Linked DNA regions of Cricetulus griseus. The protein of the gene in region 2 interacts with the protein of the main gene of each other region in a pairwise test. Links are inferred from orthologs where the notes say so. Each region holds a gene or a part of one and is shown on either strand. Other genes may lie near its edges.

Region 1 (7,007 bases), on a different chromosome or scaffold from region 2:
ACAATCTAATTAATTCTACAACCCCCGCCCCCATCCCTGAAGAGCATTAGGTTTATTCATCCATTCTCTTAAGATCCCAAAGCATCTCCTCCCACATCCTCAGCACAAAATAAAGTCTCACATCTTTGGAGGCGTGGGCTCATGGCTGTCATCATCACTGCCGCTCTCTCTGTCAGGCTTCTCTTCACCTGAGGTCAGTGTGGCTGTCTGGAGGAAAAGGATCATGGAGATGGATAAAGCCAGCCCAACACCATTACCAACCCTTTCAGAAGCCCCTAGGAACTCACGGCCGAAGCGGTGAATCTGACAGCCCTCACCACTGTTCCCTTCAGAGTCATGCAGCCTGTATATTTCAATTTGGACAGTTACTGGGAAGTGCAGCAGCCAGGGCTTCTCTGGCTCACAGCAGGCTGACTGAAGAACAACCAGGGAAAAGTGTTCTTCACTTTTAGGTTTTCACAGTGGAGTAGGTGCCAGTAACTGACAATAGAGACAGCACTCCTATTGCTGGTATTTTTGTTTAACTAGATTAACAGAACCTATTATGGGCCATGTAGCTCAGGATAGAGTAGAATGGCAATGAAATGGGTCCAGGTGCGGAGACAGCTCACCTGGTAACAACACTTAATGTGCAAGCATGAGGACCTAGTGCAGATCCCCAGCACCCACATAAATGTCAGGCAGGCATGGCTACCCACCTGTAATCCCTGGGGTCCCTGGAGCAAGCTAGCTAGGTGCTAAACTATACAGATTGGCAAGCGGATTCAAGTAAGAGATCTTAGTTCAGTATATAAGGTAGAGATCAAAAAAAGATACCTAATGTCAACCTCTGGCCTCTATATGCATACACATGTATGAGCACCTGCACACAAAAGTGCTCATATATGTGAACACGTATACATGCGCGTGCACACGTGTACACGTACACGTACACACACACACACACACAGAATTCGATGGGTCAAGTTTCCAGTCCAGATGTAATTACATGGGCAGTTAGGATGAACGTTGCCTGTCCCATAGATAACTCAGGCCAGGGTTTGGGCAGTGGTTTCTAGAAGGTGCTATGTATAATCTCAATCTGAAAGTCAAGAAATGTTAGCAGGTAAATGGCAAAGGCAGAGAAAGGGTAGGTGGGAGAACACAGCTTCTAGAAGAAGAAACAGAGCTGCTTCTGCCCCAGAGAGAACAGGTGGGAGTAAGACAAGAAGCATAAAGGGCCATGCAAGTCAATCTCATTAAATAGGGAGGAGCCAGACAGTGGTATTGCACACTTTTAAACCCAGCACTCCAGAGGCAGAGGCAGGCGGATCTCTGAGTTTGAGGCCAGCTTGGTCTACAGAGTGAGTTCCAGGGCAACCAGGGAGAATCTGTCTTGAAAAACAATAACAAACAAAAAGGATCATGATACAATTTGTGTTTTGGAAAGAACCCTATGGATGTTTTGTAGAACAGAGTCAGCTGACTATGGTGCAGAATGAGACCAGAGGCAGAGTATCTTAGAGGCAAAGACTGCCTGAACTAAAATAGTAAATGCCAACAGATGCAGAAACTGGGAAGGGTTGCTAGATAACTTGGGAAGCGCCGAGCAGAGTCTATGCTCGCTAACTTCTGGCTTTCTATAGCTATAGTGAAAAAGCTGGGAAGCCTGGGTTCTATTCTTTCTGTCTTTACTAGCCAGCTGTGGGTTCTTCAGTAATCCATTTTCTACACTTTGGGGCACACATGTAAAATAAAGATGGATTAAGTAACCAACCTTCAGGGTTCTTCTGTCTTCTAAATCTTTTTAAATTAGACACCAACACTTCCACCCCAGCAGCTCTTAACTAAATGATGGCTCTCCCTCTACTGTTCAGTGCTGCCCCGCAGCGGATGGCAGGGTCCATGGAACCTTAATACCTCAATTCTGGAGGGGGGCATGGGCCTTAGTCTAAGCACAGCGAGGTTGGACATGGGATCTGGGTATGCTAGGATATCCTGGGAACTAGTTCATCACACAAGGCAATCGATCAGGACCCAGGGGAAATAGGGGAGCAGTAAAGAGCTGAACCTCTCACTCTGGTACCTTCACAAACTTCTGATACAGCAAATTGGACTTGGGGTGACTGCGCTGGGTGGTCTCCTTGGAAAGGCGCCTTATCTGCACTCCATCCTGTTGGAAGGCATCAGTGAGGAAGCGACATGCTCTACCTCCCTGCCCCATCCCAGACGTACCTGACAAGCTCATACCTTCCCTGTGTCCACTACCAAGCTGGCTGCAGTCTTGTTGAAGAGATCACTCCACCAGTGGTCTGTAAACTCCTTGGCAGGGTCGTGTCCCACCTCCAGAATAATAAATGAAAGTCACAGTCTGAGCACCGCCCACCAGCCCTCATGGGTGCCCTTTCACATTCATGCTGACCCACCCCCCCAGGCTTACCCCATGGGTATCTTGCTTCAGTGTGACCTTGAGGGCCTGGGTGATGCCATTCTCTTTGCGGCCCAGACCCTTGCCTGTAGAGGACAGTGAATGACTTATTTTGTAACCTGCCCTGAGCCCTCACCATGACTTCCTGGGCCAACTGCCACTCCTCTCACTGATCACTGGTATACTGTGTACCCTTCAGAAATCTATGTCACTCCATCCTTTCTCGTACTGCTTCACAAGTGCCTCCGTCTGACCTGGAATGATCTTTTTTTGTTGTATTTCCTCCTTCAGTCTGCCCTCAATATCCTCCATTGTCCAAGAATGAGAATTTCATCCATTCTCCCCTTTTCCAGCTAGATCAGGAAATTTATGCTTCTAAGGTTTTCTCTTTAAACTAGTTTCTCCTATGGTTGAATTGACATGGGGCAAAGGAAACGAGGGAGTTGGGAGGATATGGAAGGGCCCTAGAACACCTTGAGTCCATCCATGCTTTAGCAGCTGCTCTTCAGCAAACTTCATCCCACGACTCTTGACCTCTGGGGTGACACTCATGGTGGGCAGAGGCTCTGTCCTCAGGTTTTCACCAGGGGTGAAGATGTGGCACCATCCTTTGAATAGGAAAAGAAATGACTGGAGATGCAGCTTAGACAGCGGAACACCTGGGTAATACACCTACAGCCCCAGGTTTCAAGCTCCAGCATCCTGTAGCACACATCTGTGGAGGCAAGAGGATCAGAAGTTCATACCATCCACAACTATATAGAAAGGCTGAGCCAGCAACCTATGCTATGAGACCCTAAGTGAGTGAAAAAGAAAAGGGTGGTACTATGTGCCTATGGCTATTTCAGTAGGTACAATGCTTGCCTAGCCTGCATGAGGCCCTGGGTTCAATTCCCCAGCACCATTCACTGGCCTTGACTCCTAAACTATAGGAAGCTACCACAGAGAGATGGATCAGTGGGTAAAGATGCTTCCAGCCAAACCCATGACCTGAGTTTGAATCTACAGACTTACTCAGTGGAAGGAGAGAACTGGCTTCCATGGGCTGTCTTCAGCCCTCCATACCCTTGCACACTCACACACACAGATAGACACAGACAGACAGACACAGACACACACACAGACACACAGACACACACACACACACACACACACACACACACACACACACACACACGGAATTTAAACCAGAAAGTCTGTCTGCAGAGTCTGTAAGATCTCCCCAAATATATTACCCTGTAAAAACAAAGCTATGAGGTGTTTGCTACCTTGAGCTACAGACTGGTACTTAAGAGAGCCTACCATCTATACCTGTGCTCCAGCATTTGTACTGTCTTAGTATGGGAACCAACATTCCGTCCACATTACTGGTGTAGTTCAGGTTTCAGAAGCTTCCCTTTAAACTGTCCAGCTCAGGAAGGGGATGCTAACTGAACACTAAATAAACAAAGATGGGTGTCACATGCTATCACCTCATTTATTATGTCAAATCACCTCATTATACTTCATAGATAATCCTGTCTGATAGGGATTAACCTCATCCTGTAAGTGAGGAAAAAAGGACCTGGGTTTCTTGACTGAAGACCTATTCAGGCAGTTTGAAGACCTGTTCAGCCCAAATTGCATGATTCTAAGTAACTGCATTTTCTTTACAGTAACTCACACATACTTCCTGTTGAACCCAACTTGTGTATTAAAGTTTCCTCCAAAATGGTTAAGATGACACCTCACCCTGAAAGCAGACTACCAGTATCAGTTTGTGCTAAGATCATTTGTTATGGGCATAGGAGACAATTACTTTTTGTCTTTGTTTTGAGACTATGGATCTCTCATTAGCCTGAAACTCTGTGTAGATCAGGCTTGCCTACCAAGTGCTAGGATCAATGCTGTGTGCCACCATCCTGCTGCAGAACACTGTCAAAGCTGACTAAGGGGATGACTAGAGTAAATCTGGAGCTTCTCAAAGAGACAGTTTAAATGGCAAAACTTTCATTAGATTTAGTCTATTAAATACCCTTTAGAGTATCCAAAGAACTTCAGCAAATGTTCTTAAACATTATATATTAAGTTTAAGAACGATGAGCAGAATTTCTGTCCAACAGAAGGTGACATCCAGGCATGGGCTGTCCAAGTCTCCCAAGGAATAACCTGGAGAAAGGTATTTAATAAATGTAAGATTCAGGGGACACCTGACTGTTTCTAGCTGTAATAGCAAATCGAGAACTTTATAAAGCAGGAGACAGAAATCCAGAGTCTGATCTGGGAGCTCTCTATTAGTTAGTAGGAGTGTCAGCATCAGATTGTAGGAGACAGGGCTTAAGAGAGAGACTTGGACCTGCACTGTACCACAGTAATTCCATAATAGACACTTCAAAGAGCAGAGTGAGACAGATTCACACAAGAACACTTCAGCAGGTGCTGAGATGCCAGGCTTTCACTGGCACTGCTAGAACAGCTAGCTGTAAACACCATTTCAAAAGGGCCCCCTTTTATGGACTGCACTCTTGGGAAACACACAGCATCACAGCAAGTGACTCAGAAGCTTCTAGACTTCGGGGAAAGGTCTTTGAATCATTAGTCATTGGTGTGGAAACTTGGTGGGACCAGAGTCTGCAGGGGAACTTAAACACACATGTCAAGCAGTGTGCTGATGATGCAGGGATCACACAGGGCAGGCCCAGCACTTGCACCTGAGACTCCACCTGTGAGACGCTGCTCAGACCATGATTGTAACACTAGCTCCCAAAGACTGACTTCTGGGAACCTGGGAAGGATCTCAGAGAGACTCAAACTCAACACTGAATCAGCAAGCCAACCAAAGGCCAGATTGTTTTCATACTTTTCTTTACACCCCTTCCCCACAACACACTGCTCTCTAACACCTGGTGTTAATTTAGCCTGCTCTGTCCTGTTCTCCTCCTCTCTCCCAAAGAACACACACTGGCCAGGTCTACAGGGCCTTCTCCTGAAAGCTGGGACTGTTCTTGGTTATATGATTGTGCTTTTTTTGTTTGTTTGTTTTTTGATTTTTTGAGACAGGGTTTCTCTGTGACTTTGAAGGCTGTCCTGGAACTTGCTCTGTAGACCAGGCTGGTCTCAAACTCACAGAGATCCGACTGCCTCTGCCTCCTGAGTGCTGGGATTAAAGGCATGTGCCACCAACGCTTGGCAATGATTGTGTTTCTTAACCTTTCTCTTTTCAGTTTACCTCAACGGGAGGGCCTAACCCCTGCCCTACCATTTCTTCTTTGTATATTTCCTCCCTACTTTTTCTCTGCCAACCCAGAACTAAATCACATGTTTCACCCTAAGTTTTTCCCCCTATGCACAATGTTCCATTACTTCCTAAAATGACTGATGCTTACTTGGCTATTACTGTACTTCATAGTAGGCTTACTCTTTGATACTGTTTGTGCAGACAATATTCTAATTCCAGGGGAGCAATGGGATAAAGCTGGATGTCCTGATCTAGCAGAGGAAAACAATACCTTAACACTAGAACAGCCTAGGCCCTCTTGGACATTGTAAACACTTCTGACAGAATAAAGATGTTTTTAATAACAATTCTCTTTTTGAACTTTAGTTGTATGAGTGTTTTGCCTGCATATATGTGTACCATGTGCATACAATGCCCTTAGAAACCAGAAGAGGGCATTAGATGCTCTGGAACTAGTATTATAAATGGTTGGAAGCCACCATGTGGGTGCTGGGAACTAACTCAGATCCTTTGGAAGAGCAGTAAGTACTCTTAACCCCTGGCCATTTCTCCAGCCCACTAAATAAATTCCACCAATGGCTCAATTCCTGAGGCATAAGTCTCAAGAACACCAGACACCAAGGCAACATAACTCCTCCAAAATGTAAGATATCAGGAGATAAAAGGTGGCCAGGAGTTTAAGACAGGACTTTAAAAGCAACAGTACCACGTAAAAAGCCAGGCACAATGATGTGTACTTGTAATTCCAGTGCTGGGAGACAGAGACAGAGACAGGAAGATCTCCAGGGCTTTATGGAGACTGCCTGAAAAAACAGGTGGTTGATTCCTGAGAAATCAGACCTAAGGTTGACCTCTGGTCTCCATATGCATGCACACCCATACACACAAATGTGCATGCCCCCCCCCCACACATTTGAAAAAAAACCAAACCAACAAAAAGCCCCAGAGTCTGGAGAGATGGCTCAGTGGTTAAGAGAACTGACTGCTCTTCCAGAGGACCTGGGTTTGATTCCTAGCAACCACATGGTGGTTCACAACCTTCAGTTCCAAAGGTTGACACTCTCGTCTGGTCTCCTCAGGGAACCAGGCAGACACACAGACATACAAACAGGTAAAACACCCATACACATAAGTTATTTTTAGGGTTATTATTTATTTATTGAATTAAGTCACTAAATCTGTGGCAGTTCTATACATAGCAATGAAGCTAATGCACAGAATAATGACTAAAGGCTATTCCAGAAGTTATTGAGATGATGTATAAAACGACAGTTTTGGGGTCTGGAGAGATGGTTCAATGGTTAGGCACTTGCTGCTCTTGAAGAGAACGGGTTTGGTTCCCAGCAAGCACAATGCAGCTTACAACCCCCCACACCCTCTTAT
Region 2 (7,007 bases):
GAGGGTTTTCTCAGGCTGCACCCACCTTGGCCCTGTGTTTGCAAATCATGGAGCTCAAGGGAAGCTGAGGATGCAGCGTTATTGGCAGCATGATCCTGGTGTGGAGCGCTTAAGGTCCAGAGGACCCTTCATAGCGCCAACTGGAGGGCTCAGAGGCCTGCAAGCCGGCAGTCTTGCGTGGCCCGTGTTTTGTGGAGTTGCTGGTGAGGAGTTGTCAGAGAAGCCTCTGGCTTTCCTGCCCAGACACTCTGACTGACCAGGAGGTGCACTCAGAGTGTAAAGGGGCAAGCTCTGGTCTATCACCTCCCTAGCAACGAAGTGTACCAGACACAACTCTGGTACAGGGACAGCAGGCTCTCCCCAGCCCTGCACTATGATGAGCATGCTGCAGTAGCAGCCTCTGAAGCAGGAGAGAAGGATGGAGGTGCCAGGGACCTTGGGTCCCACTGTGACTCAGTTGAGGCCCAGTTGCCCTCCTCCCTCCAGCTCATTTGATGAGGAAATCACTCTGTGCTGAAGTCATTGCTGCATGATTTGCTATTGTTAAGAAAACAGGAGAAAGCCAGGAGAGGTCATGGTTACATAAAAACAACACAGGGACTGGGCCCAGGGTCCTGACTGAGTCAGTGAGGGGGGCACAGTGGTGGTGTGGTATGGGGTCTGCTGGGAGGGGCTCACACTGGCGGGGGCTGTAGGTAGTAGAGCTGCACGTGTGGCCAGGTGGGTGTCGGGGACTGGCTGAGCAGCACGATGGACAGCAGCAGCAGCAGCAGGCCCAAGATGGGTTTGGGGACCAGAAGGTGCTGGCTGACTCTGGAGGGGGAGGCAGGAGAGGCTGAAGGTGGCCCCAGGAAGATTGGTCTCCCCAACAGGTGGCACCCCCCAATCACCCCAGGAGACACCTGAGGGGCACACCTGAGCCCTGGGGAGTGCTGGGGGCACAGGCAGTGCTGGGCCCAGGGCCTCTCCACTGGCACCACATCTCTCACCACAGGCATGAGAGCTTGTTGCACCTCTGGCACATCTTGACAACTGGAAGGCAGATGGGAAGGGCATTATTGCTAGGCCTGGTATGTCCTAAGTCCCTTTCCAGTTCCCATGTGTCCCTTTACCTCTCAGGAGAGCTTCTTGGGGCAAGCTCATGGTGAGGGGTTCCCAGAGGGGTGGAGGGGTCAACCTAGCAGGAAAAAGGACAGAACATATCCATTTACTCAATCTGCACAGAGTTTCTGGTCAGTACCCTGGATGCAGACTACACAGATGAGGCCACATGTCCCTGGTCAGAGATGACAACAGCCCTCCCTTTCACAGGGCTGACTGAATGGGGAAAGGAGGCAGAGCTTGAACAGAGCCCACATGAGAGTCAATAGGGTGAGAGCTTTTGAGCACTGCCCCCTCCCGCTCCCAACTGACTCTGTAGGTTTCTAGCAATGGTTTATAGGTGCCATCGGTCCCTATGCTGGGCACATAGGTTGTGGCTGAGCTGTCTCCCAGTGCCAGTCAGGGCTTCACATGTCCACATCTGCCCCAAATACAATGACCATGGTGATGACAAACCAACTAGCATATCACTCCCAACTGCTAGGTCCTGCACCCATATTGGCTGGCCCAGAATTGAGAGCAGAAAGAAAGAGCTGGACTTCCTCACTGAAGGTGTCTAAGTGTGGCAAGGCAGGTGAGGGCTCCAGAGCCTGCCCTATACTCCTCAGCAGACTCTGGACTCATCTCCCATCAAGTTCCTTTAACTTCCCTTGAGACCTCAAGCTTGTCTCACCACAGACAAGGGTGGAAGAGTCCAGGCCCAAGCAGTTTGGTCACTCACTGAGGCCACCAGTTCTTTGGTGAGTGGGAGTGTGGGAGTTAGTGATGCACTTGGGAGTGTAGCCACCTCTGAAGCTCCAGGCTCAGGATGTGAAGACTGCAGCCTGCATGTATAAGGCTGGGGTCCTGGGGAACATCCTGGCTGCCAACTGCCTCCAGCCCCCCCCCACTCCTACCCCCACTTCTCATTAGCTGCACCAAGGGCCTTGTTATCTCCTGACCAAATGATTTTTCTGTCTGTTCCCAAGGAGTTCAAGCTTCGGGAAGGGGCTGGGATTAGTCCCTCAGCTTCTAGGGCTAGGAAGGGTGCTAGGGTGCCTACCAGGACCCAGCTCGCCTCCTCTTCTTCCTCTTCTTCCTGTCTTCTGGACAACCTAGAGCAAACACCATCACTGACTCCCCACCTCCCTAGTTCTCTCTCCCACTGGAAGATACAGTGGAGCTCAGGGTCTGCTGGCATCTCCTATGCATGCTTCCCAGAAACTGAGCAAAATCAACTCTTGGGAGCCTGTGACCCCAAAAGGCTCAGAAGCCTTGACCTAGGCTTCCTAGCTGTGCCTCAGGCAGAAACAAGGCTCCCTGCTTCCACATACCACAGACTCCAGGGTATGTAGACTCTGGCACCACTGTTGGGGGTATGATGCCATTCTTTAGCCTTAGTCATTCAGGTTTGTTAGAGACTGGGAATACAACTCCCCTCTCTCAGCCCCCAAACCTCACTATTTGGGCTTTCCTGTGTCCAAATCACCTCTCTAGGTATGCTAGCCCATGTTTCCCCAAGCCTATGCTTCAAAGACACAGTTTTGGAGGCCCTGGTATCCATGACAACAGCCTATGCCTGAGGATCAGGGATCTAGCCTTGCAGCTGCCATCAAGCCAGCAGTCTCAAACACAGCTGCTCCCAGCCCAGTCCCACTATACACGGCTGTGTGAACCCCTTACAATTCCCCTGGGTTGTAAGCTGTTGAGTCCCCATCCCCTTGAGGTGGGGCCCCAGTGTTTGTCATCCCCCAAGTCCTCTGCTTCCTAGAGGAAAGTGGGCTGGGTGTCCCACCCTTCCTCCTTCCATCCTGCTGACGTAGGAGGAGGTCACACTGCTCAGAGCACCCAGGCAGTCCAATCTCAGCTCTGCCCAGGCAAGTCCAATTAGAGGTTGTGTAGGGGCCTCATTAGCTGTGACAGCAGTAGTCTGGAGAAGGGGGGCACCACAGGAAGCAGAGGGCGCTGTGACCAGACATCCAGCGCTTTCCATCCTTACTCAAAGCCTGAGTAAGGCCTCAAAACACACCCCCATCAGTCACAGAGCTGGACTCCGGGATCCATGGAGGATCATACCAGCCCCTCATGGAATGGGTACTCAAGACTGGTTTTAGAGCCTGCAGGGTCTTCCATGCCTGGGAGCTCTCAAGGCCCCTATCAGCCTTGTTCCTGAATCTCTGGCTCCCTGTAGGGTAAAAATTGCAAACCCGTACTATCCAGCCTGGTGCTTGGGGTGTCCCCCAAAAGCCCCTAAAAGTCTCCCTGGGTCCAGGTGCCCACCTCTTGTTGGAGTTGCCAGGGTAAGGATATGCTGAGAGCAGGGTCAGGCCCAGAGCTCTGAGCAGCCACAGATTGAAGAATGGAGGAGATGTATGCTGACTCTTTCAGGGTGCCATAGCCCTTATTCTCTAACAGCCAGAGCCCATATCACTTGTGGCTGAGAGAGGGAGGGCTCCATCAACCTACTCCCTTACCTTAGAGATGCTGTTCTTCCTTCTAGAGCATACACTGGCTCTCTCTGGAAGTTTCTCTGCAGAACATCAAAGTTTGGTCTCCTTGACTCTCTCTGAGCTTCTGACCCAGCTCCAGCCAGGCACATTCTGCCTGAGGTCCAGACTGAAGTGGATGGCCACAGGGATACAAGCTTCTGTGCTTTCCGTGGGGCTCCCTCAGCACCCAGGGAAAGCCACATATGCCATGGGTTCTGGTGAGTCTACCTAGCTCCTTTTGAGGACTAGAGATCAATACTTACAGGGTGCCCCCATCTACCAGCCTGTGCCAGGAGGGAGCTCACTACTTTCTCTCCACTTCCTTCTGGGGGTCTCAGGATGTTCCCTGCTCCTCTAAGAGGCCCAGAGCCAGAGATGTGTTCTTTGTGCCTGTGACCTCAGTTACCAACTCCACTAACCTGACACTTGTTATTTTGTTTTGCTCACTGCCTCATGTTGCTTGAGCTGGTATGAGCTCACTAAGTAGCAAAGCATGGCCTTGAACTCCTCCTGCTTCTAATTCCTAGGAGCTGAGACATAGCTGTGTGGCCACCTTGTCCCAAATCAATCTCTCTCTTCCCTCCCTCCTTCCCTCCCTCTCTCTCTCTCTTTTGGGTCTAATTCTATAGCTCAGGCTGGTCTCAAATTCATGGTAAGCCTCCTGTCTTCAGCCTTCCCAGTTCTAGAACTGCAGTGTGAGATCCATCCCAACAGTTTTTAGTAATTGGTGACCTCCAGGTCTGTGCACTTGGCTGCTCTTGTAGCCCTAGATGTTCTCTAAGATGTCTGCCTCCCAAGCGTTATCACTAAGGACATGTGCCACCACTGCCTAGCAGCTTCTCTCAAAGATACTCAATGTATTCCCCAATGTGCACAATTGTAAATAAGGGATCATGACAGGATTTCTCCAGGGCAGCTTGAGTTTGCCCATCCCTTGAGGGCAGGGGTGTGCCCTGTTGGCTGGGGCTGCACCCTTAGCAGGCAGCAGGCTCTCTGATAAGCTCAGGGAGTAGACAACACAGCAATAGGGCTGAGGGGGGTCAATGGGACCCTGAGATCCTTGTGGGGGCCTCTGGACGTACTTCTGTGATTCAGAGACCCCTCTCCTCACCTGTTCCCTAGCAGGATCCTCAGAGGGAAACTCAGCCTCCTCCCACTGCCACACTCCACACAGAGGACTGGAGAGGCCAACACCTGATGCATCCCTCTCCTGGAAACAGAGGCTGCATGTGAACTTGGGAGGCCCAGGGCAAGGTTGGGCCTGAGGCAGGGTAGAGGTGGAAGAGCTGGAGCAAACTGACAGGTGGGATGGTATGGGACAGGAAGGAGGACACTGGTAAAGACACCACAGATTGGTAGGGGATGTTAGGGGACATGGCCACAGGGGGGCTTTTCGGGGCTGGGGTTGAGGCAGAGCAAGCAGGCTGGAGGGGGGCAGATGACTAGGAGGTGATGCTCTGGCAGCAGTGTGTGAGAGCTGGAGTCACCAAGTGCCAAGTACCCAGGCCTCTGGGACTGAGGGTCTGCATAGGGACACATGGAGTTTCTGTCTTGGTGTCCTCCGGAACATTCCATGGAAGCAGAGCCTACCTGCCGGATAGCCTGGATCTCCAAGTCCAGAGATGGGGGCAGTGCCATGATCCAGCCTACTCTTCCTGCCTCAGCCCCTTGCAGTAGCCTGGTCACAGAGGGGAGGCCTATCTTTTGAACCGCATTCTGCAGCCTTCATCCTGTGGCCCGGCCCTCCCCTGCCTCTTTCTTGATCCTCCCCTTCCCTGTCCCCCTCCTGACTATCCAGCCACTCACTCTTCTGGGCCCTCCTGGCTCAGACTCAACTGCTCCTCTAGGTTCGAGATTTCTTGCCTTAGTTCCTGCAAGAAGGCAGAGCATGGGCCCTGGTGGAGCCCCACATACTTTGGACTCCTCTTCCCAGACACAAACTGCCAAGGGGCCAGGATGAAGAAGCAGCGGCAGAAACTCACAAAGACTAAGACAGCACAGAGACCCAGAGCACAAGGCACAGCCAGGGACATGGCAAAAGCAGAGTCAACTCTTCTAAGGTGGCAGACTCTGCTGAGGCAGGGGACAGGAGCCCCCAGAGAGGTGAGTACTGTGGGATACAAAGTGAGGTAGGAAGGGGTGGAGAGTGAAAAGAGAGAGCAGCAGTGGTCTACTGGGGAGGGGAGCAGCAGATGAGACCCCACAAAGGAAGATGGGCATTAGAGGTGCCATGGGCACTCATTACCTGGGTAGTGGTTCTGTACTCCTCTAGACTCTGGGCCAGACTTTCTGCATGGCGGGTACGCTGGGGAACACAGAGCTGGGGTTCAGTCCCCTAAGACAGGAGGCTGCTAAATTGGGAGCTGGCTGAGTTGGGAAAGCTTGGAGAAGAGTTGCTTCCAGACCCTGCAGGCCACACTGACCTGAGAAGGCCTATCTGGGCTGTTTGTCCAGGGCTCAGAGCTGGGTGGGCTCCTGCCACACAAGGCAGGGGCTAGGAAGGCATGCTAAGGGTAGGTCTGTCCCCTCCCTGTCCCTCACCTCTGAGAGGACTGCTTCACGCTGGCAAATGAGTTGTTCGCACTCACAGAGCTGCCGCTGCCGAGGAAGGAGCCTATTTATCTCTTCACCCAGCCTCCCAGCAGCCCCCACATCTCCCTTCAGCCTCCTACTGCCCCTACCAGGTCCTGGCCAGGCCTCCCCTCAGCCTCCAGTGACAGCTATGGCTATCAGCTGCTCTGAAGGGGACTCTAGCTGAGCTGCCTGGGCAGCCCTAAGCCATGTGGACTCTGGCGCAGGACCCTGGTTTCAGCAGCTGCAGTGCTGACTTGGGTGCAGGAGGTGAACGGTTGGTCCTCAGGCCTGGACAAATAAATGCTGCACCTTCAAAGCATCTTTCTCTGTGGCCAGCTCCTCACTCCGCCTCTTCACTCCGTCTCGTTCTGCTAGCAGCTTCCCATTCTGGAGGGAGGATCAGCCTTGCTCACCAGTTGGCGGTGCTAATGCTGTATGCCCTGTATGCACCTCAGTCTTTTCTCCATTCTCCCACCACCCTGCTGGGCCCTCAGCTGGGATTTCTCCACAGCTGGTTTCCCCACTGATTCATGGAGTCCCTGTGAGATAAATAACCCAGTAACTTCCAAGCATTTTGCATGTGAGATTCCATTTCTTTCCCCATTTTTAAAGATACAGGCAACTCAGGCACAGAGGGATGGAGTAATATGATCTGGATCACAAAGCTCTTATTCTAACACAGGCCAGTGAATGTTAATGACCACAGATATTTAGAGCAGAGTCAACTGTAGCTGGCATGTACCAGATGTAAATGTTAAAGATAAATGTTTATAGATACTTAAACTCATGTTCCCTAACATACAAAACTAAAAGTAAGTATAATGAGCCCAGAACACACACACACACACACACACACACACACAC

The links. The genes of interacting proteins can lie anywhere in the genome.
Region 1: the proteins of Kash5 (region 2) and Gpatch4 interact in binary tests that used the Homo sapiens proteins (3 or more experiments, as listed by UniProt). The two-hybrid records come from large-scale screens. The link is inferred for Cricetulus griseus from reciprocal best matches to the Homo sapiens genes KASH5 and GPATCH4.

What each region holds. Positions count from the first base shown.
Region 1 is NW_023276806.1:66,418,650-66,425,656, forward strand, and holds part of Gpatch4 (G patch domain-containing protein 4), read right to left. Parts: intron 3,123-7,007; exon of another isoform or gene 3,016-3,122; 5' UTR 2,960-3,015; coding exon 2,881-2,959; intron 2,494-2,880; coding exon 2,420-2,493; intron 2,323-2,419; coding exon 2,230-2,322; intron 2,153-2,229; coding exon 2,066-2,152; intron 505-2,065; exon of another isoform or gene 208-504; coding exon 122-207; intron 1-121.
Region 2 is NC_048599.1:154,076,750-154,083,756, forward strand, and holds the end of Kash5 (protein KASH5), read right to left. Parts: intron 6,531-7,007; coding exon 6,453-6,530; intron 6,168-6,452; coding exon 6,111-6,167; intron 5,875-6,110; coding exon 5,815-5,874; intron 5,441-5,814; coding exon 5,376-5,440; intron 5,248-5,375; coding exon 5,160-5,247; intron 4,780-5,159; coding exon 4,681-4,779; intron 3,611-4,680; coding exon 3,555-3,610; intron 2,196-3,554; coding exon 2,144-2,195; intron 1,178-2,143; coding exon 1,113-1,177; intron 1,033-1,112; coding exon 916-1,032; intron 814-915; coding exon 675-813; 3' UTR 660-674; downstream 1-659. UniProt on the Homo sapiens protein: As a component of the LINC (LInker of Nucleoskeleton and Cytoskeleton) complex, involved in the connection between the nuclear lamina and the cytoskeleton.